7 linked regions of the Oryctolagus cuniculus genome follow. The protein of the gene in region 1 interacts with the protein of each later gene in a pairwise test. Links are inferred from orthologs where the notes say so. Each region holds a gene or a part of one and is shown on either strand. Other genes may lie near its edges.

Region 1 (3,500 bases):
TGTTTACTGGGCCAAGCCCAGGGCCCAGAGCTGTTCCTGGTGAGCGGCGCAGCCGTGGGCCCCACCTTCCTACGGCTTGCAGTGCTGCCGGAGGTAGACCAGCTGCACACGCGGGCGCGAGGAGAGTATTTCTTGCAGGACTTGGCTGTTGAGGAGCTGTGGGGAGAGCCTAGGAAAAGTGGAGTAGATGAGCAGAGACTGGGGACAGGAGATGAGGAGAATGTGCCCGTGGGAAGGTCCTGAGCCGCCCAATCAGTCCTGAATTCCCCCATCCTGGCCCCCAAATCCTGAGTTCCTATTAATAGCTATGCCTTTAAAAAAAAAAAAGATTTATATATTTGAAAGAGTTACAGAGAGGTAGAGAGAGAGAGAGAGGTCTTCCATCTGCTGGTTCACTCCCCAGATGGCTGCAATGGCCGGAGCTGAGCTGATCCAAAGCTTCGTCTGGGTCTCCCATATGGGTGCAGGGGTCCAAGCACTTGGGCCATCTTCTACTGCTTTCCCAGGTCATATCAGAGAGCTGGATCAGAAGTGGAGCAGCCGGGACTTGAACCAATGCCCATATGGGATGCTGGCGCTGCAGGCCAGGGCTTTAACCCAGTACGCCACAGTGCTGGCCCCACTGCCTATGCCTTTTACTACCTTTCCTCTTTTAGGTTCTGTCAATCCCAGATGGGTTCCTGTGTCCAGAAGCCCTGAGATGCTGCACAGATGCCGAGAGCGCTGACACATTTTTCTCTCGTGAGCCTCTGTGTATTATAAAACACAGGCCTTGTGAAAATTCACACAGCGCAGAAACATAGGAGGTGGAAAGTCCACATCCCCGTCATGTGCGGCACCGCTCAGGAGCAAGGCTCTGGCTGGTCTGGGACGTAGATCTTCCCAGGCCTGTTTCTGTCTTTGTACATTTGTGGGTTATATATGTCTCGTAAAGGTAACTTTTGCAAGAATTAGATAATACCATGCATTTTGTAGCTTGTTGTTCTTCTAGTTAATATATTGTGGAAACCTCAGATCTTCAGTGTAGAGCTGCCACTTTTTTTTTTTTTTTTTTTTTTTTTTGGCAGGCAGAGTAGACAATGAGAGAGAGAAAGAGAGAAAGGTCTTCCTTTGCCATTGGTTCACCCTCCAATGGCCACCGCGGCCGGCGCACTGTGGCCGGCACACTGCGCTGATCTGATGGCAGGAGCCAGGTATTTATCCTGGTCTCCCATGGGGTGCAGGGCCCAAGCACTTGGGCCATCCTCCACTGCACTCCCTGGCCACAGCAGAGAGCTGGCCTGGAAGAGGGGCAACCGGGACAGAATCCGGCGCCCCAACCGGGACTAGAACCCAGTGTGCCAGCGCCGCTAGGCGGAGGATTAGCCTAGTGAGCTGCGGCGCCGGCCTGCCACTTTCTTTCAAATGGCAACATGATATTCCCTTCGTCCTCTGTCAATTTAAAAAGCACGTATCAAGTGCCATTTAGGTTTTCACTCTATGCTTAGTTATATGGTGAACTAACATGTGGATTTCTTTTTTTTTTTTTTAACATTTATTTATTTTTATTTGAAAGTCAGAGTTACACAGAGAGAGGAGAGGTAGAGAGAGAGAGAGAGAGAGAGAGAGGTCTTCCATCTGCTGGTTCACTCCCCAGATGAACACAACGGCCAGAGCTGCACCCATCCGAAGCCAGGAGCCTCTTCCAGGTCTCCCACGTGGGTGCAGGGGCCCAAGGACTTGGGCCATCTTCTACTGCTTTCCCAGGCCATAGCAGAGGGCTGGATTGGAAGTGGAGCAGCCAGGTCTCGAACCAGTGCCCATATGGGATGCCGGCACTTCAGGCCAGGGCATTAACCCGCTGTGCCACAGCGCTGGCCCCTAACATGTGGCTTTCAGCTGTGGACTCTAAATACGCAGTTGTTTTGGATCTCGTACTTACCACAGGCAGTTCGTGGGACCTCTGAGGCTCTATAATTTCCAAGCTCTCAGCTTGAGTGGGTGAAAATAATTTTTGTAAATTTTTTTTAACTAGGAGAATTTTTAGAAGTCAGGCCAGCAATAAAGCACTATCAAGTAGGGATAGGCATTTGGTACAGTGGTTAACTTGTCACTTGGGATGCCTGGCCTGCACTGGGGAGTGCCTGGTTCAAGTCCAGCCTCTGCTTCTGACCCAGCTTGCAGCTAACGCACACCTGGCAGGGAGCAGATGGTGGCTCAAGTGCCTGGGTCCCTGCCACTCACATTGGAGACCTGGATGGGGTTCTGGGTTCCTTGCTTTGACTTTACTCAAGTCTGGCTGTTATGGGCATTTGGGGAGTGAACCAGCAGATGGAAGATCTGGCTGTCTCTCTGCCTCCATCTCTCTCTGCGTTTCCAAGAACAATGAAAATAAATTTTTTAAATCTTAAAAAAAATAGCGTAAATTAAATTTGGTCTTTAACTGTCAGGTGTCTCCCAGGAAGTACTTAATACTCTTTGTTTACAGCAGCCCAAGTTGTTGCATTTGGTAGCAGGCCTCAAAATCTGCTTTTCTACTCAGCCTACCACACAGAGTCGCTCTGTTCCTTTTATTCCTGGACACTGGGGTGTCAGGAGTTTGCGGACAAGCCGTAAGTCCACCTTGAACTTTGTGCCGCCGGCACGCGGTAGACGAGCCGTCCCCCTGACCCTCTGCACCCTTGGGCTTGCAGGTGAGCTTCGCCATCTGCGGGAGGAGATCTCCCTGCTAGAGCGGGAGAAGGAGAGCGAGCTGAAGGAGATCGAGCGGGAGCTGCACTTGGCCCAGACTGAGATCCAGAGCCTGCGGCAGGCGGCGGCCGACTCGGCGAGTGAACATGAGAGCGACATGGCGTCGCTGCAGGAGGACCTCTGCCGCATGCAGACCGAGCTGGACGACATGGAGCGCATCCGGGGAGACTACGAGCTGGAGATCGCCACCCTGCGCGCCGAGATGGAGATGAAGAGCTCCGAGCCCTCCAACAGTTTAAGTCTCTCGGACTTTTCTGGGTTGCAAGGTAGGAGAGAGCGAGTTCTCCCGGCCAGAGGAGGGTGGGTAATGCAGAGGAAGGCGGTGGAAAAGTGTGCCGCTGGATGAGGAATTAGGAACCGCTAGGAAAAAGCCCTCCAGGTTAAACTTGAGACTGTGGGGCCGGTGCCGTGGCTCACTTGGCTAATCCTCCACCTGCGGTGCCGGCATCCCATATGGGTGCCGGGTTCTATTCCTGGTTGCTCCTCTTCCAGACCAGCTCTCTGCTGTGGCCCGGGAAGGCAGTAGAGGATGGCCCAGGTGCTTGGGCCCTGCACCCGCATGGGAGACCGGGAGGAAGCACCTGGCTTGAGACTGTAAGGGAGAACATGTACTCAGATGTTACAGTCATTCCATGGCGCTGTGAGAGGCGTGCATTGGGAATTCTACCCCAGAGAGCCTTTAGGGCTTTGTTGACCTGACTGTGGGGAAGCCCTCCTGCTGGGCTGTCCAGTTCTGGGAGGAGGGGAGAGAGCCGGGTCACCTTGGGAAG
Region 2 (3,912 bases), on another chromosome or scaffold:
TTCGGATTGGCGCAGCTCTGGCCGTTTCGGCCATCTAGAAAGTAAACCAGCAGGTGGAAGACCTCTCTCTCTCTGCCTCTGCCTCTCTGTAACTCTGCCTTTCAAATTAATTAATTAATTAAAAATATATAGAGAGAGAGTTAAAATGTGAGTTTTAAAAAAATTTATTTGAAAGGCAGAATTAGAGAGAGGAGGATATGTGTGTGTGTGTGTGTGTGTGTATGGGGAGAGAGAGAGAGAGAGAGAGAGAGAGAGAGAGAGAGAGAGAGAGAAAGGGCTTCCATCCACTGGTTCACTCCCCAAATGGCCACAACGGCTGGGAGTTGGGCCAGGCCAAAGCCAGGAGCCAGGAGCCAGGAGCCTCTTCTGGGTCTCCTGCATGGATGGCAGGGGCCCAAGCACTTGGGCCATCTTCCACTGCTTTCCTCAGGCCATTAACAGAGAGCTGTACCAGAAGTGGAGCAGCTGAGTCTCAAACCAGCGTCCATATGGGATGCTGGTGCCACAGGCAGAGGCTTAACCTGCTATGCCACAACACCGGCCCCTAAAATGTGAGATTTTTAACACTAGCTTCCTTTAAAAACTAATGAAAAACAAAGCAATGCATGCTTACAGTAGAAAGCTTGGAAAATACATAAAAGAGTATAAAAATCACCCACAGTCCCACTGTCCATAAATAACCTTTTATGGGAGGCAGGAGTTGGGCCCTTGGATTACATGCAGCATCTCGATACCCAGCTGCAACTCCTGACTCCAGCTTCCTGCTAATGCAGACCCTGGGAGGCTGCAGGTTATGGCTCAGGTAGTTAGGTTCCTGCCACCCCTGTGGGAGACCTGGATTGAGTTCCTGACTCCCAGCTTCATTCTTGGCTCAGCCCTGGCTGTTGCTGGCATTTGGGGAGTGAACCAGTGGACAGGAGTTCTTTCTATAAATATTTGTCTCTGTCTCTCTCTGCCTTTCAAATTAATAAATAAAAATGTTTTTAAAAATTAAGGAATAGAATTAGCATTGTGCTGTAGCAGGTTAAGCCACAGCCTACAGCGCTGGCATCCCATATGGGTGCCAGTTCAATTCCTGGGTGCTTCACTTCCAATCCAGCTCCCTGCTAATGCACCTGGGAAAGCAGTGGAAGATGGTCCCTGCACCCACGTGGGAGACCTGGAAGAAGCTTCTGGCTCCTTGCTTCAGATCGGCCCAGCTCCAGCTGTTGCGGCCATTTGGGGACTGAACCAGCTGATGGAAGACCTCCCTCTCTCTCCCCCTCTGTCTGTCTGTAACTCTGCTTCTCAAATAAATAAATAAATATTTTTAAAAATTAAAGAATAAAAAATATTAATGTTTTGATTTACTATGCATATGTCTAAGTTTAATAGTTTAAAAAATTGTAACCATAGCATACAAAGATTTTTGTATATGTTTTTAAAGATTTATTTGAAAGGCAGAGTGACAGAAAGAAAGGGAGAGGCAGAGAGATAAAGAGGCCTTTCATCTGCTGGTTCACTCTCCAAATGGCCAGAAAAAGCCAGCTTGGCCAGGCCATAGCCAGGAGCCAAGAACTCCATCCGGGTCTCCCACGTGGGTGGGAGGGGCCCAGGCACTTGGGCCATTTTCTGCTGCTTTCCCAGGTCATTAGCAGCGAGCTGGATGGGAAGTGAATCTGCCGGGACCTGAAGCAGCACCCATATGGGATACTGGTCTTGCAGGCAGCAGTTTAACCCACAGCGCTATAATGCTGACCTCCATCCTTCTTACTTCTTAAAGATTTATTTATTTATTTAAAAGTCAGAGTTACACAGAGAGGGAGAGCAGAGCGAGATCTTCAATATGCTGCTTCGCTCCCCAGATGGCCACAATGACCAGGGCTGAGCCAGGAGCTTCTTCCAGGTCTCCCACGTGGGTGCAGGAGCCAAAGCACTTGGGCCATTCTCTGCTGCTTTCGCAGGTGCATTAACAGGGGGCTGGATCGGACGTCTGCTGTGAACTCAGGTCACCTGTTGAAGAGCTGAAGGCTGGAGGCTGCTCGTCTCCTAAGGCTGCATTGGATTCTATTAAAATATTGTCAATGGTCATCATTATTGTATGTGTGGTTTTCAATTGGCAATATTCTTTTAATGAGAGAGGGAGAAGGAGAGAAAGAGAGAGCGAGAAGGGCCGGCGCCGTGGCGCACTAGGCTAATCCTCCGCCTTGTGGCGCTGGCACACCGGGTTCTAGTCCCAGGTGGGGCGCCGGATTCTGTCCCGGTTGCCCCTCTTCCAGGCCAGCTCTCTGCTGTGGCCAGGGAGTGCAGTCGAGGATGGCCCAAGTGCTTGGGCCCTGCACCCCATGGGAGACCAGGAGAAGTACCTGGCTCCTGCCATCGGATCAGCACAGTGCGGCGGCTGCAGCACGCCGGCCACGGCGGCCATTGGAGGGTGAACCAATGGCAAAGGAAGACCTTTCTCTCTGTCTCTCTCTCTCACTGTCCACTCTGCCTGTCAAAAATAAGTAAGAAGAGAGAGAGAAACTCCCCCATCCCCTGGTTCACTTTCTAAATGCCTGTAATGGCCAGAGCTGGAATCAGGAGCAGAGCTGGGACTTGAACCCAGGCATTCGGAAACATGATGCAGGCCAGACTGGGCAGAACGCCCGCCCTTCAACTAACCACCTGGAGAAAAGCTTGCCAAACCCAGAAACTTCGCTTCATCCTTTGATAAATCCATGCTGCTAATCTGTGAAAGAAGCACTTCCTTTGTCAGGACTTGTAACCTCGTGTTTTATACTGCTGCGGAACCACGTCTCTCCTGTTTCCTGACTCTGCGTGTTGGCTTTTGTATCTTCCAGGTTCAGGTGTGGGACACAGCGGGTCAGGAACGCTTCCGTAAAAGCATGGTTGAGCATTACTACCGCAATGTGCATGCAGTGGTCTTTGTCTATGACGTCACCAAGATGACATCTTTCACCAACCTGAAAATGTGGATCCAAGAGTGCAATGGGCATGCAGTGCCCCCACTCGTCCCGAAAGTGCTTGTGGGCAACAAGTGTGACTTGCGGGAACAGATCCAGGTGCCCTCCAATTTAGCCCTGAAATTTGCCGATGCCCACAACATGCTCTTGTTTGAGACATCAGCCAAGGACCCCAAAGAGAGTCAGAACGTGGAGTCGATTTTCATGTGCCTGGCTTGCCGGTTGAAGGCCCAGAAATCGCTGCTGTATCGTGATGCTGACAGGCAGCAGGGGAAGGTGCAGAAACTGGAGTTCCCACGGGAAGCTAACAGTAAGACTTCCTGTCCTTGTTGAAACCCAATGGTGTACATACAAGATCAATTATCACTGGAGTTTTTTCTTTCCCTTTTTTCCGTGCCTGCATCATGCTGACACCTGCTTGTTTCCATACAAATTGATATCAAAATAAAATTTGTATAGATTATCAACTGGCTTTATGTCTTGCTTTCCTCTGAGAAGATATTTCCAATTGTGATGAGTGGCAGAGCCAGACTGCTTTTTGGCTCGCGTGACATACACACGCCACACCGGCTGTCTGGGCTACCTAAACTGTTCCTCATTTGAGTCACTTCCTCACGACTGATCCACTCTGTCGCTTGGCATCATCAGTGGGCAGAAACTCTCGGTGAGAATGGGACAAAGGCGCAATTTGTTTTTCTAGAGAGCCAGTGCAGGTGGCAGGGTAGAGAAGCTGAGAAAGGAGCCTGTTTCCTAGGCTCCCTCCATGTGTGTCTGGGATGCCCAGATAGGCTACCCTCTCCCTATTTCTCACAGTTAAAACATAGGAAGTGCCTGTTCCTTAAGGGGCCCAGTTGCTTCCAGGGTGGTTAGACCCTGCTTCCCATTTTTCACCAAACAGTCTCAGCCACCAAAACATGCCTCCCACCCCCCACCCACCTTTCTTGGATGCAGCAGGGCTCAAGCTAAG
Region 3 (3,500 bases), on another chromosome or scaffold:
CATGTAGTTAGAAATACTAGAGTTTTAAATCCCATTCTGTTTCCAAGTACAAGTTGGTAAGCTCTCTGCCTTCCCTGAAGAAGTGTGACAAGGGAGAGTCAGGTGAGAAGAGAGGACGAGGCAGACGGGGCTGTGCCTGTGCCGGGATGGAGACCTGCAGCCGGCGGGAGGCCTGGCCCTGCCTCTCCTGAAGGTGCAGGTGACAGAGGGCTTGGCACACCACACACCACGCAGCGGTGCGGCGGGGCTCCCATACGTAATTCCTGCTGTGTGGAAGTCACTGTGCATGTGGCCCTAACCCTAGTGGAGCGCAGAGCTAGGATTTCGTCGGCAGGGAGGAAGCGCGCCATACACATGAGTGTTCTCAGAATCCCGGGGAAGCTGGCAAGACTGTTAAGGTTTTTCTGAGTCTGCCGTCTTTCTTCATAGAGGAGTCCGTTTCAGCATGAGGGGCTTGGTGTCTTCGGAGAACACGAAGAGTGGCTTTTAAAGGTAGAATCACCGCAGATTGCTTTTTCGTGCCGGCCACCTTCTGTATCGAATGCACAAGCTTTCTCGTTTTAGTCCTCTTTAGAGAGAATAGGTGATCATGGTGTCAGAAACAAGTGGAGCCAGTCTGGGAATATATTCTCAACAGAGGAAGAAGAATTCGTGCATACCTACAAGTCCTGAATGTGTGATTTATTCTTTTCTTCACTTAATCTTTTTTGTAAAGCTGCCATCCGGTGGGAGGGAGGGATCCTGAAAATAAATCACGTTTGATTTCATCTTGGAGATTAATACGTAAGTGACGAAAGCATTTTGTCAAAGAACTGATCTGCGTCCGCAGCCCTCTGGATTTGCCGTCAAGTGCCGAGACCCCGCGGGCAGCTCTGGTTCTGGATTCGCTCAAGGAGTTTCCCACGGTTCTTACTCTGTTTGCTTGCAGGTTGAGAAGGCTCTGGGGCTCTGCCGGAGGACGCACACTGAGCCCATCCCCACCATGCTGTATGTGCACAATGGTTACTAGGCAATCCACATACCAGGAGAGGGGACATTCTTCCGTCAGGTGAGGTGACGCGGGGGCTGTGTTGGGAGACCACCTGTTCAGCTTTCTGTTTCTTCCTTTAAGCCAGCCAGTGTGTGCTGGAAGAAAATTCAGGATTGCATCGCCGCATTCACCCTCTGCCACGGTAGACCGGTCTGCCACCACAGCAGAATCTGAAAGATGATGGTCTGAGCGTGCGACCGTAGATCCCATTAACTCCCTCTGATGGCCTTTAACACGCGGACTACGATAAGAATCAGGAAAGACCTATTCCGACAAGATTCCTTATTTTCTTTCAAAATTTCTGAGACGAGACTTTAGTTTTGTCATTAAGTGAAGGAGTGAGGGAAATCTTACCGAGGAAACAAGTTGTTAAGTCTCTCATCTCCTGGTTTTCTCGGAGAAAATGGCGCTCGATAGCAGTCATGTGACAAAATTCCACCACTTGGTAGTGACGCTTCGGGCTGAGTGAAGACCCCGACTCTGTTGAGAGCACCATCAGGTGCCTGTACACGCCATCTGTAATGATTCGACCCGAGCTGGGCTTCCGTTTACCCGTGTGCAGTCCGTAACGAGAGGTTTTGCAAGATACATTACTGTTAGTAGCAAGACTATCCTGAGATCCTGAATCCACGTTGGAGAGCACAGTGTCTTTAAAGAGCTTTATCACATAATTGTTTTTTTCTATTTTTAGAAATGGAAGGTACTTGTTAAGAGATGAGTCTAGTCTTCTACAAATTAGCCCAGTTTGGAATGACTTCCTGGAAGCTAGTTAGTTTAGATTTCTGTATGTACTTAACTTAAAATCCCACTGGGCCGGCGCCGCCGGCTCACTAGGCTAATCCTCCACCTTGCGGTGCCGGCACACCGGGTTCTAGTCCCGGTCGGGGCGCTGGATTCTGTCCCGGTTGCCCCTCTTCCAGGCCAGCTCTCTGCTGTGGCCAGGGAGTGCAGTGGAGGATGGCCCAAGTCCTTGGGCCCTGCACCCCATGGGAGACCAGGATAAGTACCTGGCTCCTGCCATTGGATCAGCACGGTGTGCTGGCTGCAGCAGCCATTGGAGGGTGAACCAACGGCAAAGGAAGACCTTTCTCTCTGTCTGTCTCTCTCACTATCCACTCTGCCTGTCAAAAAAAAAAAGAAAAAAAAAATCCCACTGAACTGAATTTGTAACGCACAGACATACACACACACACACACACACGTGCAGCGTCTCACCGTTTCATTCTGAACTTGGTATGAAGGCGATGTCATTTTCTGACACTTCTTGTGACCTAGTGAGTGAAGGGATTCAGTGTGCTACTCTTTCCTTTCAGATAATTTTATCGTAGGGCTAATTGACAGATTATTTAGATTCTCAGAGTTTTAAAATGTATGTTATTTGTTGCTACTTTGATTATTTATGGAGTGGAAAATAGAATTTAGAAACATGTACCAGAGGCTGTGTAGACAGTAACAGGAAGCGGGAAGCGCTGATAGAAAGACAAACAAACCAATAAAAGGAAAATAAATCCCATCCCAACATTTTATTCTGATTTCTTAATCTGCTACTTCTCTACCCAGCCTTCCTCGCTTTGTGCTAAAGATAAAATGTTGTTGAAATACTTGAGAGAAATAGTCAAAAGGTTTTTGTTTGGGGCTTTTTTTTTTTTTTTTTTTTAACCCACTGCCTTCATTGTCTTTGGTGTTCCCAGTAAATGGGTTGTCCATTTATTGCTCCATGTTGACTATCTCCAATCAGTGACAGCACCCTTGAACGGCTTGTAGCTCCACCTCCTCCCGGCTTGTAGCTCCACCTCCTCCGGGCTTGTAGCTCCACCTCCTCCGGGCTTGTAGCTCCACCTCCTCCGGGCTTGTAGCTCCACCTCCTCTGTGGTGCGTCCAGTGAGTGAGAGCTCCTGAGATGGGCACTCACCTGATTTGCTACCTGGCATCTCCTCCCTCTTAGCTAAACCCGCATGCCGTGCTCGTGGGCTGTTTGCTGTGAGTGATTTTTTTGTTGAATAAGAGTGCTGTTTCTTTTGAAATAGTTTGTAATCTTAGGGAAATAATCGAAAGTTTTGGTCTCAACAGCCGCATGTTCACTAGTAGTAGGAAGGGTCATTACCAAGGATTTCTGATTGAGGCCTTGAACAGTGCTGAGATATCTAGTGGACAACTCCCAGGCGCCAAGTACGCTCAATTTCATCTCTTCTACCTGCCCTTCAAGGCTGATCCCTGTGACCTAATGACTCCTTTGTAACAAGCGGACTCAGCTAGGATGTTACACCACCACTGTCGAAGGAACCCTGAGCTGCAGGAAGAATTGCAGATCCAGGCCGCGGTGGCCGCTGGGGATGTCCACACCGTGCGGAAGATGCTCGAGCAAGGCTACTCTCCGAACGGCCGCGATGCCAACGGCTGGACGCTGCTCCATTTCTCCGCAGCAAGAGGAAAGGAAAGATGTGTTCGAGTATTTCTGGAACACGGAGGT
Region 4 (3,933 bases), on another chromosome or scaffold:
CGCAGGGCAGTTCCTACGGCAACGCCAGCCTTGTCCATCACGGACGGAGGCGGGGCCCGCAGGGCAGTTCCTACGGCAACGCCAGCCTGTCCATCACGGACAGAGGCGGGGCCCGCAGGGCAGTTCCTACGGCAACGCCAGCCTGTCCATCACGGCTCGGAGGCGGGGCCCGCAGGGCAGTTCCTACGGCAACAGCAGCCTTGTCAATCACAGCAAGGAGGCGGGGCCCCGCAGCAGAGCCTCAGGGCGTCCGTGGATTCCAGTCTGCGCCGTCTAAATTTAGAACATTCTCGTCACCCCCGAAGGCAGTGCCCAGCCCCTCCCTCAGGCCGCGGCGACCACGCCCCCTTCCTGTCCCCGCGGAGTCCCCTGCCCGGCCGTGGGGCCCCACGCGCGTTCGTGCTCCCCGGCGTGACGTCTGCGGGGCCCGCAAGTACTCGGCCCCGCACTCCGGGCCGCAGACGTCTGTCCCGTTTTGCGGGGAGCCTCGCGCAGGTTCTCCCGCAGCCGCACCCCGGGACTGCCGGGCTGACCGTCCGTGAGCGCCAGCCGCTCCCAAACCCACGCACCCGCCCCGTGGACACCGGACTCGCCCCTTGGTTTGTGCGAGGACCTGTGCGTGAGCAGGCAGATGGGGCGGGGGGCGGCCAAGGTGCCCAGGGTGCCCGAGGACTGACGGCCGTGCAGATGGGGCTGACTCCGGCCCGGGTCTCCTGCCCAGCCCCCGCCTGACCCCGGCCCAGGTCGCCTGTCCAGCCCCCGCCTGACCCAGGCCCGGTCTCGGCCACGCAGCGCTCCAGCCTCTCGGCCACGGCGGGTTTGGCCCCCTCCCCAGCTCTGCGGGTGCTAAGAACCAGAGCCCCCTCGCCCTAGCGACCCCCTGCGTCCCCACGGCAACCGGGGCGGGGCCGAACCCGGATCCGCGCGCGCCTGCTGGCCCTTTAAGAGGCTCCGCCCCGCGCGGCCTCGGACGCCAGGGATTGGCCCCGAGCGCGGCCTCGCGCAGCCGAACTTGACGCGCCGCCCGCCGCCTCCCCGGCCCGCCTCCCCGGCGACTCGGCAGCCGCTGCGGCCAATCGCCGAGCGGCGCGCCGACCCTCATCTACATGATCACGCCCCCGGGGCGGGCCCCGGCCAATCGGGCCGCTCGCCGGGGCCTCATTAGCATGCCGGGGGCGGTTGGTTGGCGCGTCGCGGCGGCCGCCAGGGCCGGGAAAGTTTCTGTGGAGGTGAAAGCCGCGCGGAAGTCGGGGTCCCGCGCAGGGCGGGGGCGCGGGGGGCGCGGGGCGCGGCCGGGGCCGCCTCGGGCCGGGGGCGGGGCCGGGCGGGCCCCCGGGGGCGGCGATCGCCCAACAAAGGAGCCCCCGGCGCCCGCCCTCGAGCGCGTCCCCGCCCCCAGCGCACCCCCCGGGGTCCCGGGCGCCCCTCGCCGACGCCGCGCGTCTGCGTTGCAGGTCCGGCCCGGAGCCGCCATGTCCCACGGCCCCAAGCAGCCCGGCGCGGCCGCCGCGTGAGTGCGCCGCCCCCGCCCCAGCGCCCTGCCCCCTTGGAGGGTTTCTCCCGGGTCGCCACCTCCCCAGCCCGGCCTGCGCCCTGCCCCGGCCCCCTCCCCAGCCCCTCCTGCCCCCGCCCCGCCTCCACCCCTTCCCCAGCCCCGCTCCTTCCTAGGCCCCCTCGGGCTCCCGTCCTGACCCGGCCCGCGCCCCCCGGCTGGGCTCCGTCCTCCCAAGGCCGCCTCTGCGTCCCCTCCCCGATCTGCCCATGTCCCGACCCCGGCGGGCGGCGGTCTGGGCTCCAGGGGCCGGCGTGACCCTGGTGACCCCGTGCCCCGTGGCTGCAGGCCGGCGGGCGGCAGGGCTCCGGGCCCACACGGGGGCTTCGTGGTCGCGGTCAAGCAGGAGCGCGCCGAGGGCCCGCGGGCCGGCGAGAAGGGGTCCCAGGAGGAGGAGGTGAGCACAGGGCCCGCCCGCCCCGTGTGCAAGTCTTGTGGCTCCGCCCACTGCCCGGTATCCGGGGAACACTGTCCCACTATCCCCCCTCGCCCCGCCCACATCCCGGTGACCCCGCCCTTTGGGCGGAGCTTTCCTTTGGGCCGCCTATAAGCGCTTCTTTCTGTCAGAGGCCACGCCCACAATCAGAAGCCACACCCCCAGGGGACCCGCGGTCCGCCTGCCCAGGTCCAGGCCCCCTTGGACCTGGTCCTCCTCCAGCCTGGCCCTCTCGGGGCCCCGGCCCCTGCCCACGCGCCCCGTTCCGCAGCCGGTCAGGAAGCGCGGCTGGCCCAAGGGCAAGAAGCGGAAGAAGGTCCTGCCGAACGGGCCCAAGGCGCCGGTCACCGGCTACGTGCGCTTCCTGAACGAGCGGCGGGAGCAGATCCGCACGCGCCACCCAGACCTGCCGTTCCCCGAGATCACGAAGATGCTGGGCGCCGAGTGGAGCAAGCTGCAGCCGGCGGAGAAGCAGGTGCGGCGGCCGAGGGGCCCCGGCGCGCCCTGGCTGGCCTCGCTCGGTCGGTGCCCGCCGGGGTCGGACAGGGCCGAAGGGGGCACCGGCCTCGGTCAGCGCCCACCGGGGTCGGACAGGGCCGAAGGGGGCACCGGCCTCGGTCGGCGCCCACCGGGGTCGGACAGGGCCGAAGGGGGCACCGGCCTCGGTCAGCGCCCGGCCGGGTCGGACAGGGCCGAAGGGGGCACCGGCCTCGGTCAGCGCCCGCCCGGTCGGACAGGGCCGAAGGGGGCACCGGTCTCGGTCAGCGCCCGCCCGGGTTGGACAGGGCCGAAGGGGGCACCGGCCTCGGTCAGCGCCCGCCCGGTCGGACAGGGCCGGGTCTCTGCTGAACCCAGATTTGCGCGTTAGTTTAAATGTGGAAAACCCAGGCGGGTCCGACGGAGGCCAGCGCTGGTCTGCGCCTGTTGCGAGTGGGGTGCGGGCCGGGGCCACCGAGGGTGCAGCGGGGGCGGGGCGGGGCGGGGCTCGGGCCCACCTGCCCGCCCACCCGCAGCGGTACCTGGACGAGGCGGAGCGCGAGAAGCAGCAGTACATGCGGGAGCTGCGGGCCTACCAGCAGTCCGAGGCCTACCAGATGTGCGCCGAGAAAATCCAGGAGAAGAAAGCCAAGAGAGGTGGGCGGGGCGTGGGGGCGGAGCCACAGCCCGGCCATGGCCAAGGCCACTGCGTGATGGGCGCTGACCCTGCCCCTCCCTCCCGCCAGAGGACTCGGGCTCCGGGCTGCTGAACACCGTGTTGAACGGGTACAAGGTGAGCGCGGCCCTGTGCCCGCCCGGGCAGCAGGCAGGGAGGGTGCGGGGTGCCGCGGGGAGCCGGCCGGGAGGGGTGCGGGGAGCCACGGGGAGCAGGCAGGGAGGGGGCGGGGAGCCACGGGGAGCCATGGGGGGCAGGCCGGGAGGGCGCGGGGAGCCACGGGGACCCGGCCGGGAGGGCCCGGGGAGCTGGCCGGGAGGGGGCGGGGAGCCACGGGGAGCCATGGGGAGCCGGCCGGGAGGGCGTGGGGAGCAGGCCAGGTGGGTGTGGGGAGCCACGGGAAGGGGGCAGGGAGCCGGCCGGGTGGGTGTGGGGAGCCGCGGGCGGGCGCAGGCCTAGGTGCCCCGGGAGCTCCCCCCAGCATAGCCACCTCGCCCCCCGACCCAGGCCGGGGACTGCGACGGCCTGGCCGCCTTCGACGTCCCTATCTTCACTGAGGAGTTTCTGGACCAAAACAAAGGTTGGCGCCCGGTGGTCCCGGCGCGGGGGGGGCGCGGGGAGGGGGCGCGGGGCTCTCCGGGGGGTGGGGAGAGGGTGTGGGGACCCGGCTGGCGGGGTGGGAGGGGCGGGGCCCCGAGGGCCGGGCTGGCGGGGGTCGGGGAGGGGCGGGGCCCCGAGGGCCCGCGGTGCGGGTCGGGGCGCGGGACCCCAGCCCTGACCCGGCCCCCCACG
Region 5 (4,076 bases), on another chromosome or scaffold:
ATCCCACATGGAGACCTCCATCCCACACGGGAGACCTCCACCCCACACGGAGACCTCCATCCCACACGGGAGACCTCCACCCACACGGGAGTCCTCCATCCCACACGGGAGACCTCCACCCACACAGAGTCTTCCATCCCACACGGGAGACCCCCACGCCACACGGGAGTCCTCCATCCCACACGGGAGACCTCCACCCCACACGGAGACCTCCATCCCACACGGGAGTCCTCCATCCCACACGGGAGTCCTCCATCCCACACGGGAGACCTCCACCCACACGGGAGACCTCCCTCCCACACGGGAGACCTCCCTCCCACACGGGAGCGTCTGGCCCCGCTTCCTCCTAGTGAACACCATGGGAGCTGCATCGATGGCTCAAGGACTGGTGTCCCCGCCACCGCTTGGAGACCCGGATAGGGTTCCCAGGCCGGTTGCTGCTTGCATCTGAGAAGTGACCGGCTGGCCAAGAGATTCTGTCTGTCCCTGCCTGTCTCTCTCCGCCTTTGAAACGCATCTCTAAAAAGTAAAGAACCATTTGTCTTAAACGTCCAGGATGCCAGAACAACTCGGACCTGCGCGCCGCTGGCCCTGGGAGGCTACTGCAGTCGGTCTGGCACCAAGACGGAAACGTGGACGAAGCCCAAAAGGGACAGTTTCCAGGGTCCTGACGGAGCACTGGCACCGGGACCTAGGCCCGCGTCCGCGCTGCCGGGAATGGAAGCGGGGTGCAGGCCGGCGCCCGCTGACCTCCCAGGGGGCGCGCAGCAGCGCTACCCGGGCCACAGAGGCCTCAAGGGGAACGCAAACAGCGCGCCAGGGAGGCGAACCTGCGGCTCACTGCGCCTCGTGCTGGATCCACTGGCCGGCTCGGACCCCTTCGAGACTCGGGGCCGCGGAGCCCGGCACACGGCCCTCTCGGGTCTCAGCGGCCTCCCTCCGGGCGAGCGCAGACAGGCCGACAGCCGAGGGTCCCAGAGTTCGAAACGCCTCTGGTCCTCCGTCTTTGCGCCCCTTTCCCCGCGGGGCGCAGACTCCCCGTGTGTGCGCAGGGCGCACCTGCCGCTCCCCGCGGGCTCCAGGGCCGGGGGGCGGGGCTGCGCGCGGACCGCGAGAGCCGGGAGCGCCGCCGCGCGCCGGCAGGGGCGGAGCCGGAGGCGGGGCCTCCGCGCGCGGGCGGGGCCGGAGGCGGGGCGGGGGCGGGGCCGGGCGGCGGGTGCGCGCGCCGCCGCCGCCGCGTCACCAGCGTGCGGCACGTGCCCGTGTTTACGTCCCTCGTGGAGCCGCCGACGTCAGCAGCCGAATGGCAACACTGTGGCGATGCTGAGGCGCCGAGTTTAGCAGACGCGGCGTTCTGTCCGGCGGGTTCCGGGAGGTCGGCGGGCGCAGGGGCGGCGGCGGCGGCGGCCAGGCCGGCCGGGCCAGCGCGGACACACGCACGGCGCCGGCCCGGGCCCGGGCCCCGGCTCCTCAGCCCCCGGACGCGGTCCGGCGGCCTCGCGCGGGAGGCGGCCGCGGGCCGAGCCCGAGACCCGGCCGCGCGGGACCATGTGAACCGCCTGCTCCGGGACGCGCATTGTCTGCCCCGGAGCCGCGCCACAAAGGAGCCGGGCCGGACGCTAAGATGGCTGCGGGGTCCCGGCGGGCGTGAGCGGGCGCGGCGCCGGAGCCATGTCGTTCGCGCTCGAGGAGACGCTCGAGTCGGACTGGGTCGCCGTGCGGCCTCACGTGTTCGACGGGCGCGAGAAGCACAAGTTCGTCTTCATCGTGGCCTGGAACGAGGTGGAGGGCAAGTTCGCCATCACCTGCCACAACCGCACGGCGCAGCGGCAGAGGAGCGGCTCCCGGGAGCAGGCCGCCGCGCGGGCCGGCGGGGCCGAGGCCGACGGGGCCCGCGGCCAGGGCGGCGCGGCGGCCAGGGCCCGGCCCGCGGCGCCCGCCGCCGCCGCCGCCGCGGCGCCGCTCCGCAGCCCCGGGCCCCGGCGCGGCGCGGCCTGTCCGGAGGCCGGCCCTCGCGGGGCCCCGGCGTCCACGGTGCGCGTGGTGGGCGCCTCCGGGGCGGCCTCGGAGGAGATCGAGGTGCTGGAGCTGGTGCGTGACGACGAGGCGGACGCGGCGCCGCCGCCCGCCGCCGAGCCGGAGCCCGCGGCCGAGGAGTGCAGCTGGGCCGGGCTCTTCTCCTTCCAGGACCTGCGCGCCGTGCACCAGCAGCTGTGCTCGGTGAACTCGCAGCTGGAGCCGTGCCTGCCGGTGTTCCCCGAGGAGCCGTCGGGCATGTGGACCGTGCTGTTCGGGGGCGCGCCCGAGATGACCGAGCAGGAGGTGGACGCGCTGTGCTACCAGCTGCAGGTGTACCTGGGCCACGGGCTGGACACCTGCGGCTGGAAGATCCTCTCGCAGGTGCTGTTCACGGAGAGCGACGACCCCGAGGAGTACTACGAGAGCCTGAGCGAGCTGCGGCAGAAGGGCTACGAGGAGGTGCTGCAGCGGGCGCGGAAGCGCATCCAGGAGGTGGGCGCCGCGCGGGTCAGGGCGCCGGGGCCCGCTGCCTCCCGTCCCCCCTTCGCCGTCTTGAATTGGGTCTCTGACGGGCTCTTGGGAAGCGTGTGGGTTCCCTCCCCGGGTCCGCTCGCGGCCTGGTGGGGCGCGGAGGGAGCCTCCGAGAACGGGGGTGCCGCCGCCGTGCGCCCGGGGCGCCCCGAGCCGACTTGGAGGTCGCTTTTCTGCGCGTGAGCCGCTGACAGCCGGGTGCCCCCAGCCCTCGGCGGCGGCGCGGGTTTGGCCCGCACCGAGGGTCGTGGGGCAGGGGGCGTCAGTGCGGGCGCAGCGGGAGGCAGGTACGCGGGGCAGGTGAGGCCAGGCCTCCGTAGCTTCAGGTGCACGGGAGAGCCTGTGGCCTGTGCACGATGGACCCGGGTGCGTGTAAGGCTTGTTTGGGGCTCGCGGGGGGCCGGGGCGCCGAGCGCCCGGCTCTCCTGTAGTACCGGGCGGTGTTCTCTAGATGGGCCCGGGTGCGTGTAAGGCTTGGGGCTCGCGGGGGGCCAGGGCGCCGAGCCCCCGGCTCTCCTGTAGTACCGGGCGGTGTTCTCAAGATGGGCCCGGGTGCGTGTAAGGCTTGGTTGGGGCTCGCGGGGGGCCGGGGCGCCGAGCCCCCGGCTCTCCTGTAGTACCGGGCGGTGTTCTCCTCTAGATGGGCCCGGGTGCGTGTAAGGCTTGGTTGGGGCTCGCGGGGGGCCGGGGCGCCGAGCCCCCGGCTCTCCTGTAGTACCGGGCGGTGTTCTCCTCTAGATGGGCCCGGGTGCGTGTAAGGCTTGTTTGGGGCTCGCGGGGGGCCGGGGCGCCGAGCCCCCGGCTCTCCTGTAGTACCGGGCGGTGTTCTCCTCTAGATGGGCCCGGGTGCGTGTAAGGCTTGGTTGGGGCTCGCGGGGGGCCGGGGCGCCGAGCCCCCGGCTCTCCTGTAGTACCGGGCGGTGTTCTCCTCTAGATGGGCCCGGGTGCGTGTAAGGCTTGGTTGGGGCTCGCGGGGGGCCGGGGCGCCGAGCCCCCGGCTCCCCTGTAGTACCGGGCGGTGTTCTGCGCTAGACTGCAGTAAATGTCCCCTCACACCGCGGTACGCTTATCGCTTTCCGAATCCGGATTTTCGCTCCTTCCCACGGGTTTGCTTTGTGCTAAATGTGACTGCAATTCGCTGTTTCTCTTCTGGGCTCTGTCTGCCCTAGCATCTTTTTGGAAGGAAGTGTCAGGAGGATTTGCTGTAGCGTTCTGTGCGGTTTCCTGGCGGCAGCAGTAAGGTCAGGGCTGCTTTTTTACTCGACTTAGAGAGATACATAGTAGACTCTAAATCCCTGGCTGAGTAGGCCTGTCTCATCTAGCTTTAATGATACACTGAAAGGGGGCTGTGGTTTTTAAATTCAGGCAGGTCGAAAGTGAGCTTCTGGAAACTGTAGTTTTCTAAGACTTGTTAGAGTGACTGTAGATTTTTAAGTAGTGTGTTTTCCTAGTTAAGATTCTATTGGCTGTAAAATTTTCAACAGAAAAAAAATTAACTTTTTAAGGCCATTGGGAAACAATTAAAA
Region 6 (4,286 bases), on another chromosome or scaffold:
TCTCTCACCCTCTCTTTCTCTTTCTCTCTATAACTCTGCCTTTCAAATAAATAAATAAAAATTTTTTTGACAGAGTTTGATAGTGAGAGAGAGAGAGAGAGAGAGAGAAAGGTCTTCCTTCCGCTGGTTCACTCCCCAAATGGCCGCCACAGCCAGCGCTGTGCAGATCCGAAGCCAGGAGCCAGGTGCTTCTTCCTGGTCTCCCATGCGAGTTCAGGGGCCCAAGCACTTGAGCCATCCTCCACTGGCACTGAATTTTCAACAGTAGAGTGAAATATAGTCCTCCCCAAAGAAAGTTGTGTTTAATGGAGATAATTCTGCTTCAATTTGGAAATTCCAATTAGTTAAAATGTCCAATTAATTAAACTGATATAAAGCAAGAAAACCCTTTCCGTTTTCCAGTTGCAGTAACCATGTTTCAACTGTCCAACAGCCACTGAACGTGTGGCTACTGATTTGGACATAGCAGCTTTGAACCTTTTGTTGTCACTTCTAGAGGGTTCAAAGACCTCACCAAGTTCAGCCTTGCTTCCATGTCGCTTGGTTAAGAGCTGTTCCTATAAGGGAAGTTTAATTGGCCCAGTCCTTAAGAGGCCACTTGGGACTGCAGCAATCTGAGCGCCTGGATTCTGGTCCTGGCTCTGCTTCTGATCCAGTTTCCTTTCTCCCGTTCCCTTATCCTGGAAAATGCTGTGCGATGGCTCAGGTCGGAGTTCTGGGCCCAGCCCTGGCTATTGTGGGCATCTGGGAAGTGAACCAGTGGATGGGAGATCTCTCTGTTAGGAAAAAGAAGGAGGGGGGGAGGAAGGGAAGGTGGGAGGGAGGGAGAGGACGGAGGGAAGGAGGGGAAAGGAAGAAAGAAAGAATTGTTCTTTTCACATTTACAAGGCAATTCGCAGTGCAAAAGAATCTACAAGTTACTTTCCGGGTATTCCAAGTTCATTATCCGCATTTGCCTAGGAATAAATTCCTCGTCAAAATCGAGGAAACTTTCAGAAGGAGGAAAGCAGGTTATGGATCTGGATATAGAAAAACAAGTTCAAGATGAAGTGGTTGCAGCATTGTCGCGCGATGTTAGATTTCAGTGCTGCAGATTAGGGCTACCGATTTTCACCTTCCCGACAAGCAGCTTTCAGGGTCTGCTCTTCTCGGAGCCTACAACTTCTCTCAGAAGAATCCAGGCGGTAGCTGCTGAACTTGCATAGATAGGGATGTAGCCAAAGTCCTCTTCTATTTTTAGCCAGAGCAACTGTTGGCCAATACAACTTTCTGGGCAGAGAAGTGCACCCTCCTGCAAAACGGACACGCAGAAGGTTAGCCCTTTGCCAGGTCCCCTTTGAAATCCCCTCACACTACTCCCACCGAAACTCGATAGCGCAATTGTTTTCCGCAGCGGCTGCAGCCAGCCCCATCACGCGCGCGCCCCGGGCACCCCCTTCGCCTTCTGGGTCAGGGCTCGGAGCCCCACCGCGCTGCCCGGCTGGGGGCGTGGCCTGGCGCGAAGGGGCGTGCCCAGGGCCGGGGGCGGGGCTGCCGCGCCGGGAGGCGGAAGTTCTCGCGGGCCGCGGGGACGGCGCACGCACCGCCAGTCACTTGTCAGCGCTCGTCTGAGGCGGAGGCAGCGCCGCGCCGGACCCGAGGTGAGTGTCCGGCGGCTGCAGATGCGCGTCTCGGCTCTGTGGCAGAGAGGAGGGGAGAAGCTGGTCTCCTCGTGGGCCGGCTCGCTGAGGAGGAGGAAGGGGCGCACCTCGGGCCGGGGCGGCTCCTCAGGTGCTTTCTGGGCGCGGAGCGGCGGAGGTGGGAGAGCGGCCAGGGCGAGAGGAGCTCCCGGGAAGAGGCAGTGCGGGGGTGGGCGTGAGGCTGTAGGGCTAGCCCTGGCAGTTCGGGTCGGCCGGGAGGAGCGCCCTGGAGGCTGGGGGGTGGTGCGGGCGGGCTCCGGGGGGCTCCTGAGCCCCGCCGCGCCGACCTTCCCCTGCCGGCTGCCGGCGTGGCTGGGCGGCCCGCCTCGGGTCTCCCCACGACCTGCGCCAACCCCTTGGGGGAAGACGTGAGTTATTTTTGTGTGTGTGTGCGCTCAGGGTCCTGAGGATCCTTCATCCCCACCCCCCACCCCCAGTATTTACAGTTGTGTAACCTGTTCAGGGAAAACTTGTGCGCCCAGACATAAAGCTCGTTAAAAAAAAAAAAAAAAACAACTTGCCTAATTGTTGGGGCTTTTGCAAGGCGGTGCGTTTGACAATAAGTGGAAAAAGGAAGGGCGTATGGACTGGGCAGAACTTGGAAAGAAAATCCGTAGCCTGCGCTGGGCAGGGCAGGTCTAGGGTGTGATCGCCGGCTCCTATCCCAGGTCCGCCTCCCTGACCGCGAGGACGTCTGAACCCGCCTGCCACGGAAGCAGCGCGCCCGGGAGCCTTATTTGGCCAACAGGGCGAGGCGCGAACCTCGGCTGGAAACTGTCTCGTCGGCTACTTTTCGTCCTACGCCTGTGGCTTCTGTAGCTCTGCTCCATTATCCCTCTATTGGAGGGCAGGGGCCGGGGGAGGGAACCTCAAGATATTTCTTCCTAATTTCAGGCTCTACTTGTCACTTGGTGCAGATCATCGCAAGTTCTCCACCCTAAGAAGCTCGGGTACAAATGTGGCAATACCAAGTTTCCTAGTCCTAAAGTGAAGTTAGTGTGTAGACTTCACCCGAAAGGAATCCCCACGTTTTCTGTGTTTCAAAGCAGGTTGCTGTTTCCTGCTGACTCACTTATTTAGGAAGGATTTGGTCACTAATAGCTAGAGGGAGGAGACCCGGAAAAGACCACTACAACTATTGCCATGGCTTAGGGATCAGAAGGTCTTGAAGGCAAATGAATTGCAGGTGACGCTAGCAGGAGAGTCCAGCTTGGAGATGTCGCTGGCTACAAGTGCAAAGACTCTGGCCTCGTCCTGTGACTGTGACCTTGCAGGTCCTATAAATTCTGACAACAAGTGGGAGAGGTCAGGAAGGGAGTCCCCAAGTTAAGAGAAGTTGCATGTCGATGGCTTGATATATAAATTAAATAGATTTTCTTGTAGGGAAGAATGGGCTAGAGGAAGTTGAGCCTAAAGTTCACATACTTCCCCTGCTAGAAGTTAAAGATTAAAAAAAGGAGGGCAGGCAGCCTGCGAAAGTCAGTTGGCTTTACATGATTCTGATTTGTCACGTGTGCCAATAGCAAGATTTTCTCGACTACGCTACTAGTTTTAATGAAGATCGTCTTTTGTATTGCAGGAAAACACCACCTCCCCGCTATTAATTTTTCACCTACATGCAACAGTTTAACTTCTGGCGTGGCTTTGGGTCTTTTTAGTGCCTGTGTCTGCTACTTCAGTACTGAAGTAATGTGTTATTGCCTGCTAGTTTAATGTACTTCCACGCCATGGAAAAGCTCATTTAGTGCCTAAGTAGATACAGTGCAGATTTTTCCCTGATTTAATTTTTCTTTAAGATCCAGGCTTATTTGAAAGTTGGGTCTAATTTTCCCTTTCTGAGAAGAAGGAATCTGTTTGCTTTAAGTTTGAATAGCTGCATCTGTCACTCTGAATCTGGTGTGAAGGGATAGTAATTTTCAGTGTGTTAAAAAGTGGAAAAATATGTCAAGACAGGTAATATAAAGTGAATTTGGTTGAACAGCTCAGATTTTCCAAGGAAGTGTGTCTTAAATGGCTGCTTCCTAAAGTGTCTTTTAATAATTTTAAAATTATACACCTGTTAATATTTTTAATACTTTTAAAAGGAGAGACCTGTTATGTTTCTTAGTATTACATTAAAAAAAAAAAAAACTCCATTCCTCCCAATTTCTCCCATCCCTATAAAAACCAAAACACCCAATCAGACTTCGTTTTTTTTTTTTTAAAGTACAACCTTGAGAGTCATTAGGAGCACAAGCAAAAAAAAAAAAAAAAAGGAAAAAAAGAAAGCACTGAGGTGCTGATTCTTTTTTAAATCTCAGTTCAGTTTCATGTGTAAATGTTAACCCTGTGGTCCTATGGCATTCAGTCATAGTTGTATTCAGTGAGTGCTCACCCCTCCCTGTGAGAAATGTGTATGAAACGAAAAGCCGCTTCTGCCTAAATGTCACCATACTCAAGCATTTGTCATTGCCTATTTGAGGGAGAAGTGAATATTACTTTAAGTATAGAAGATACCATGTCCCTGGAAGTGGAAATACGAGTTGTAGTTCATGATTGGAGAAAAGAGTTTTGTGCACAGGAAAGCATCTTCTGTTTTAAACGATTTAGTGTTTGGAAAGCATGAAT
Region 7 (3,500 bases), about 160 Mb from region 1:
CCCCCGTGGAGGCAGATTTACCCCCGTCTGCCTGCGTGCATCTCGTCGTGGCAGAGGGGCCCTGCCCGCGTGCACGTGGTGCTTGCCTTGCACCCCGTGTGCCACGTCTTCCAGCACTGCGACCCAGGGGTCTTGTCCTTGACCATCAGCCCCTTCGGGCCGCAGACGCTGCTTCTGCAAAGGGCATGAGGCTGGCTGTGACTCGCTCCCTGCAAGCCACACGTCCCTAGTTCCACTTGACCATTACTCAGCCCATTTCCTTTGTGGTCATTTATTTGAAAATCAGAGTTACAGAGAGAAAATGAGATGTCCCATTCTCTGGTTGATTCCCCAGATGGCCACGGCAGTCAGGACTGGGCCTGGCTGAAGCCAGGAGCTTCCTCTAGGTCTCCCACGTGGGTGCCGGGGCCCAAGCACTTGGGGCATCCTCCGCTGCTTTCCCAGGCCATCAGCAGGGAGCTGGATCGGAAGTGGAGTGGCCGGGACTCGAGTTGGCACCCTTATGGGATGCTGGTGTTGCGGGCGGCAGCTCCACCTGCTGTGCCACAGCGCTGGCCCCTGTTTATTTTTTTGAAATGCAGAAAGAGAGAGACTGTGAGAGATCAGTCTTCCATCTGATGGATCACTCCCCAGGTGGCCACAGTGGCCAGGACTGGTTCAGGCCTAAGCCGGTGCCCAGATTCCATCCAGCGCATTGCATGTGGTGCAGGGGCCCAAGGACTTGTGCCATTTCCTCGGCTTGCCAGGCGCGGGAGCTGGGAGCTGGGACTGGAGGCCGAGCAGCCAGGATGCTGGTTGCAATGCCAGCTCCAGACAGCGCAGACGCTTCTCTGGCTGCACCGACAGCACCAGGCCACGCTTCCTGCGGCATGCCCGCGTGCCTATCGGCTCCCTCGGCCCCTGAGGTTGTCCGCCTGGTGTCGCCATCCTGCCTAGGCATGGATTTCCCTTCCTGTTCTGCCTGCCGGGTCTTGCCCCTCTCCCAGGCTGCAGGCCCCAGGGCCGGAGCCCCGTGTCTGGCTGCCCCTCGTCCCTTCTCCCTGTTCCCTGAGGACCTGCGGGCAGCCGCACAGACCCCCACAGCCCACCCTCTGGGCTTGCTCTGGGCCACTGCCTCGGGTGCCCCTCCACACGGTGTTCTCCTGTCTGGTCTCATCGCGTGCCCAGCTTTCTGCTGCCACGCTTGGATTGCTAATTCATTCTCTCTCTCCCTCTCTCCCTCTCCCCCTCTCCCCCTCTCCCCCTCCCCTTCCCCCTCCCCCAAGTCTTCCAGGTCAGGTACCGCACTCTCTGGCTTTTCCTCACACATGAGTGTTTTCCTGTGTGTTTGAAGTGCAGTAAGCGTGTTTTAAGTTGTAACTGACGGTTTCAGTGACTGCAGTCTTGGGGGGTCTAAACCAGCTCGTTTAACTTTTGATCTCTGGGAGGTTTTAAGGTGTACGGAGCCCTCGCGCCAGTGCCCTCCTGGGCGGCTTCCTCTGTGCTGGCCTCCTCCTTGAGCCCCAGTCACCGTGCACAGCTCAGAGACCAGCTCCAAGCCGAGCCACACCAGGGACGGGGCAGGGGCAGGGGTGGTGTACAAGTGATCAGGATTCTCCGTGGAGGAGTCTTACCTCCCCGGTTGGCCCCTGGGTCATTCACAGGTGTCCCTGTGGACTCGCCTCTGCCTGTCATTCTGTGCCAACAGGGGATGGGCCCAGGAGGGCAGGTGGGGGGATGGCCACCAGCGGCCTGCAGGAGATGCGGGAGCAGAGCGGGTGGAGAGGAACACGATGCTCCTAAAGCACACTAACCGCTTCCCCTGGCGTGGCCCGGGGGCGGAGAGCAGGCAGCAGCTCGCGCCCGGGCCCTGTCCTCCCTCCACCTGCCGGCAGGAGCGCCGGGAGCCCGCGGCCAAGGCCGGGAGGAAGTGAGCTAATAGATTCCCGCGGCCACGTGAGCCTTTCTGAGTGTCCTCTTCCCTGCGGGCAGACGCACTCCACGAACGGCCCGGCAGCGGGCAGGGGCAGGGTTGGCCCCGTGCTGCGACAGCCACGTTGGCTGGGTAGCCACTGTGTGTCCCTCTCTCTTCCAGCTCGACCCTCTGCCCGAGCAGGTGGTCCAGCAGAGACCCAACGCGAACGCCGTCCGCTCCATGGAGAAGGTCATGGACATCCACAGTGAGTGGTCGGGCCCAGCCGCTGTCAGCTGGCCTTTGCTGAGCGGGTAGAAGCAGCCACAGCCTCCCGTGACGACACATTACCCCACTGCACAGGCCAGAGAGCGGGGGCCCCAGCAGCGCCGGGCAGCCCAGGGCTGGGGGCCCGAGTGGGGGGCTGCAGGGCAACCTCCTACCACTGCCCTGTGAGCACAGGCCCTGGGGGACCCCTGCCGGCTCGCCTGTCTCACACGTGTCCGCGCCGCAGATCCCTGTTTATCTCTGGGTCTCGGAGACCCGAGTGGGCAAGGCCCTCCGAGAGGTGGGTAAAGCCAGACATCGGCTCCCGGTGTGCCTGTGCGGGGGCTGGGTTCCTGGCCTAGAGCCGCTTCCAGCCCCGGGCACACCCCCAGCGTCTGTCAGTCCCAAGGCAGGGGCCCCACGGGAGCCCCCACCCCCAGTCCCACGAGGTCCCAGACATCGGCTCCCGGGTTCCTGGCCCAGAGCCGCTCCCAGCCCCGGGCACACCCCCAGGTCTGTCAGTCACTGCACTTGCGGGGACCTGTAGGTGCGGAGGGAGCGCCAGGTGATCCCAGGCAGGCTCGATGCCCCTGGCTACCCGGAAATGTTGCCCAGACGAGTGGGCTGGCCTGCCGCTTCAGAGAGGTGCTTTTGACTCGCGAGACCCCGGGCCCTGCGACAGCTCCTGCCTGGTCCTGAGTGCGCCTTCCCCGCCCGCAGGCAAGTACTGGCGCTGCCTGCAGCGCCTGTCCTCCACGGCCGGGCACTCCCTGATGGAGGCGCAGAAGTGCGAGAACGAGGAGGCGGAGACGGTCACGGCCATGGCCTCGCTGTCCGTGGGCGTGAAGCCGGCCGAGAAGAGGTGAGCTCGCGGGCCCTGGCAGAGCCTGGGAGAGGTTCCGCCCTGAGCAGGGGGCCGGGGCGGGGCCGGGGCGGGGCCGGGCCGGGCCCTGCGGTGACGGCCCTGTGGTTCTCTCCCCTCTGCCCCCTCCACGCAGACCCGAGGAGGAGCCCATGGAGGAGGAGCCGCCCCTGTAGCGCTCTGGAAGGCGCTGTTCCCTTGTTTGTTTGTCTCTGTCTTGAAGCTCAGCCAAGAAACTTTCCCGCTCACCCGCGTCTGCCGCGGTGCCCCCTCGAGTGCTGGGGCGCAGGCGCGTGGCCGCAGCGGGAGCCCTTCTGCCGCCCACACGCGGGCCTGGCAGCGTCCCGCGGAGCACGGGACAGACACGGCAGCGAGCAGACACACGGACACGCGGAGGCCAGGCACACCGCCGGCTCCCAGGAGGGAAGCCGCCAGAGGCCTGCGGCGACTCGTGGCAGGGTTGCCGGATTCAGTCGATGC

What was found.
Region 2: the proteins of CCDC136 (region 1) and RAB33A interact in binary tests that used the Homo sapiens proteins (3 or more experiments, as listed by UniProt). The two-hybrid records come from large-scale screens. The link is inferred for Oryctolagus cuniculus from reciprocal best matches to the Homo sapiens genes CCDC136 and RAB33A.
Region 3: the proteins of CCDC136 (region 1) and ASB7 interact in binary tests that used the Homo sapiens proteins (3 or more experiments, as listed by UniProt). The two-hybrid records come from large-scale screens. The link is inferred for Oryctolagus cuniculus from reciprocal best matches to the Homo sapiens genes CCDC136 and ASB7.
Region 4: the proteins of CCDC136 (region 1) and HMG20B interact in binary tests that used the Homo sapiens proteins (3 or more experiments, as listed by UniProt). The two-hybrid records come from large-scale screens. The link is inferred for Oryctolagus cuniculus from reciprocal best matches to the Homo sapiens genes CCDC136 and HMG20B.
Region 5: the proteins of CCDC136 (region 1) and JMY interact in binary tests that used the Homo sapiens proteins (3 or more experiments, as listed by UniProt). The two-hybrid records come from large-scale screens. The link is inferred for Oryctolagus cuniculus from reciprocal best matches to the Homo sapiens genes CCDC136 and JMY.
Region 6: the proteins of CCDC136 (region 1) and PDLIM5 interact in binary tests that used the Homo sapiens proteins (3 or more experiments, as listed by UniProt). The two-hybrid records come from large-scale screens. The link is inferred for Oryctolagus cuniculus from reciprocal best matches to the Homo sapiens genes CCDC136 and PDLIM5.
Region 7: the proteins of CCDC136 (region 1) and HDAC4 interact in binary tests that used the Homo sapiens proteins (3 or more experiments, as listed by UniProt). The two-hybrid records come from large-scale screens. The link is inferred for Oryctolagus cuniculus from reciprocal best matches to the Homo sapiens genes CCDC136 and HDAC4.

What each region holds. Positions count from the first base shown.
Region 1 is NC_091434.1:164,996,392-164,999,891, forward strand, and holds part of CCDC136 (coiled-coil domain-containing protein 136), read left to right. Parts: intron 1-2,672; coding exon 2,673-2,996; intron 2,997-3,500. UniProt on the Homo sapiens protein: May play a role in acrosome formation in spermatogenesis and in fertilization.
Region 2 is NC_091453.1:107,859,340-107,863,251, forward strand, and holds the end of RAB33A (ras-related protein Rab-33A), read left to right. Parts: intron 1-2,822; coding exon 2,823-3,278; 3' UTR 3,279-3,412; downstream 3,413-3,912.
Region 3 is NC_091443.1:9,946,838-9,950,337, forward strand, and holds part of ASB7 (ankyrin repeat and SOCS box protein 7), read left to right. Parts: intron 1-928; 5' UTR 929-1,048; intron 1,049-3,236; 5' UTR 3,237-3,287; coding exon 3,288-3,498; intron 3,499-3,500. UniProt on the Homo sapiens protein: Probable substrate-recognition component of a SCF-like ECS (Elongin-Cullin-SOCS-box protein) E3 ubiquitin-protein ligase complex which mediates the ubiquitination and subsequent proteasomal degradation of target proteins.
Region 4 is NC_091447.1:59,467,388-59,471,320, reverse strand, and holds the start of HMG20B (SWI/SNF-related matrix-associated actin-dependent regulator of chromatin subfamily E member 1-related), read left to right. Parts: upstream 1-1,133; 5' UTR 1,134-1,166; coding exon 1,167-1,229; intron 1,230-1,454; coding exon 1,455-1,510; intron 1,511-1,840; coding exon 1,841-1,949; intron 1,950-2,259; coding exon 2,260-2,463; intron 2,464-3,001; coding exon 3,002-3,122; intron 3,123-3,211; coding exon 3,212-3,258; intron 3,259-3,648; coding exon 3,649-3,721; intron 3,722-3,933. UniProt on the Homo sapiens protein: Required for correct progression through G2 phase of the cell cycle and entry into mitosis. Required for RCOR1/CoREST mediated repression of neuronal specific gene promoters.
Region 5 is NC_091445.1:3,019,643-3,023,718, forward strand, and holds the start of JMY (junction-mediating and -regulatory protein), read left to right. Parts: upstream 1-1,276; 5' UTR 1,277-1,671; coding exon 1,672-2,511; intron 2,512-4,076. UniProt on the Homo sapiens protein: Acts both as a nuclear p53/TP53-cofactor and a cytoplasmic regulator of actin dynamics depending on conditions. In nucleus, acts as a cofactor that increases p53/TP53 response via its interaction with p300/EP300.
Region 6 is NC_091439.1:71,014,178-71,018,463, reverse strand, and holds the start of PDLIM5 (PDZ and LIM domain protein 5), read left to right. Parts: upstream 1-1,486; 5' UTR 1,487-1,640; exon of another isoform or gene 1,641-1,770; intron 1,771-2,347; exon of another isoform or gene 2,348-2,629; intron 2,630-4,286. UniProt on the Homo sapiens protein: May play an important role in the heart development by scaffolding PKC to the Z-disk region. May play a role in the regulation of cardiomyocyte expansion. Isoforms lacking the LIM domains may negatively modulate the scaffolding activity of isoform 1.
Region 7 is NC_091434.1:1,667,491-1,670,990, forward strand, and holds part of HDAC4 (histone deacetylase 4), read left to right. Parts: intron 1-2,074; coding exon 2,075-2,159; intron 2,160-2,878; coding exon 2,879-3,020; intron 3,021-3,156; coding exon 3,157-3,196; 3' UTR 3,197-3,500. UniProt on the Homo sapiens protein: Responsible for the deacetylation of lysine residues on the N-terminal part of the core histones (H2A, H2B, H3 and H4).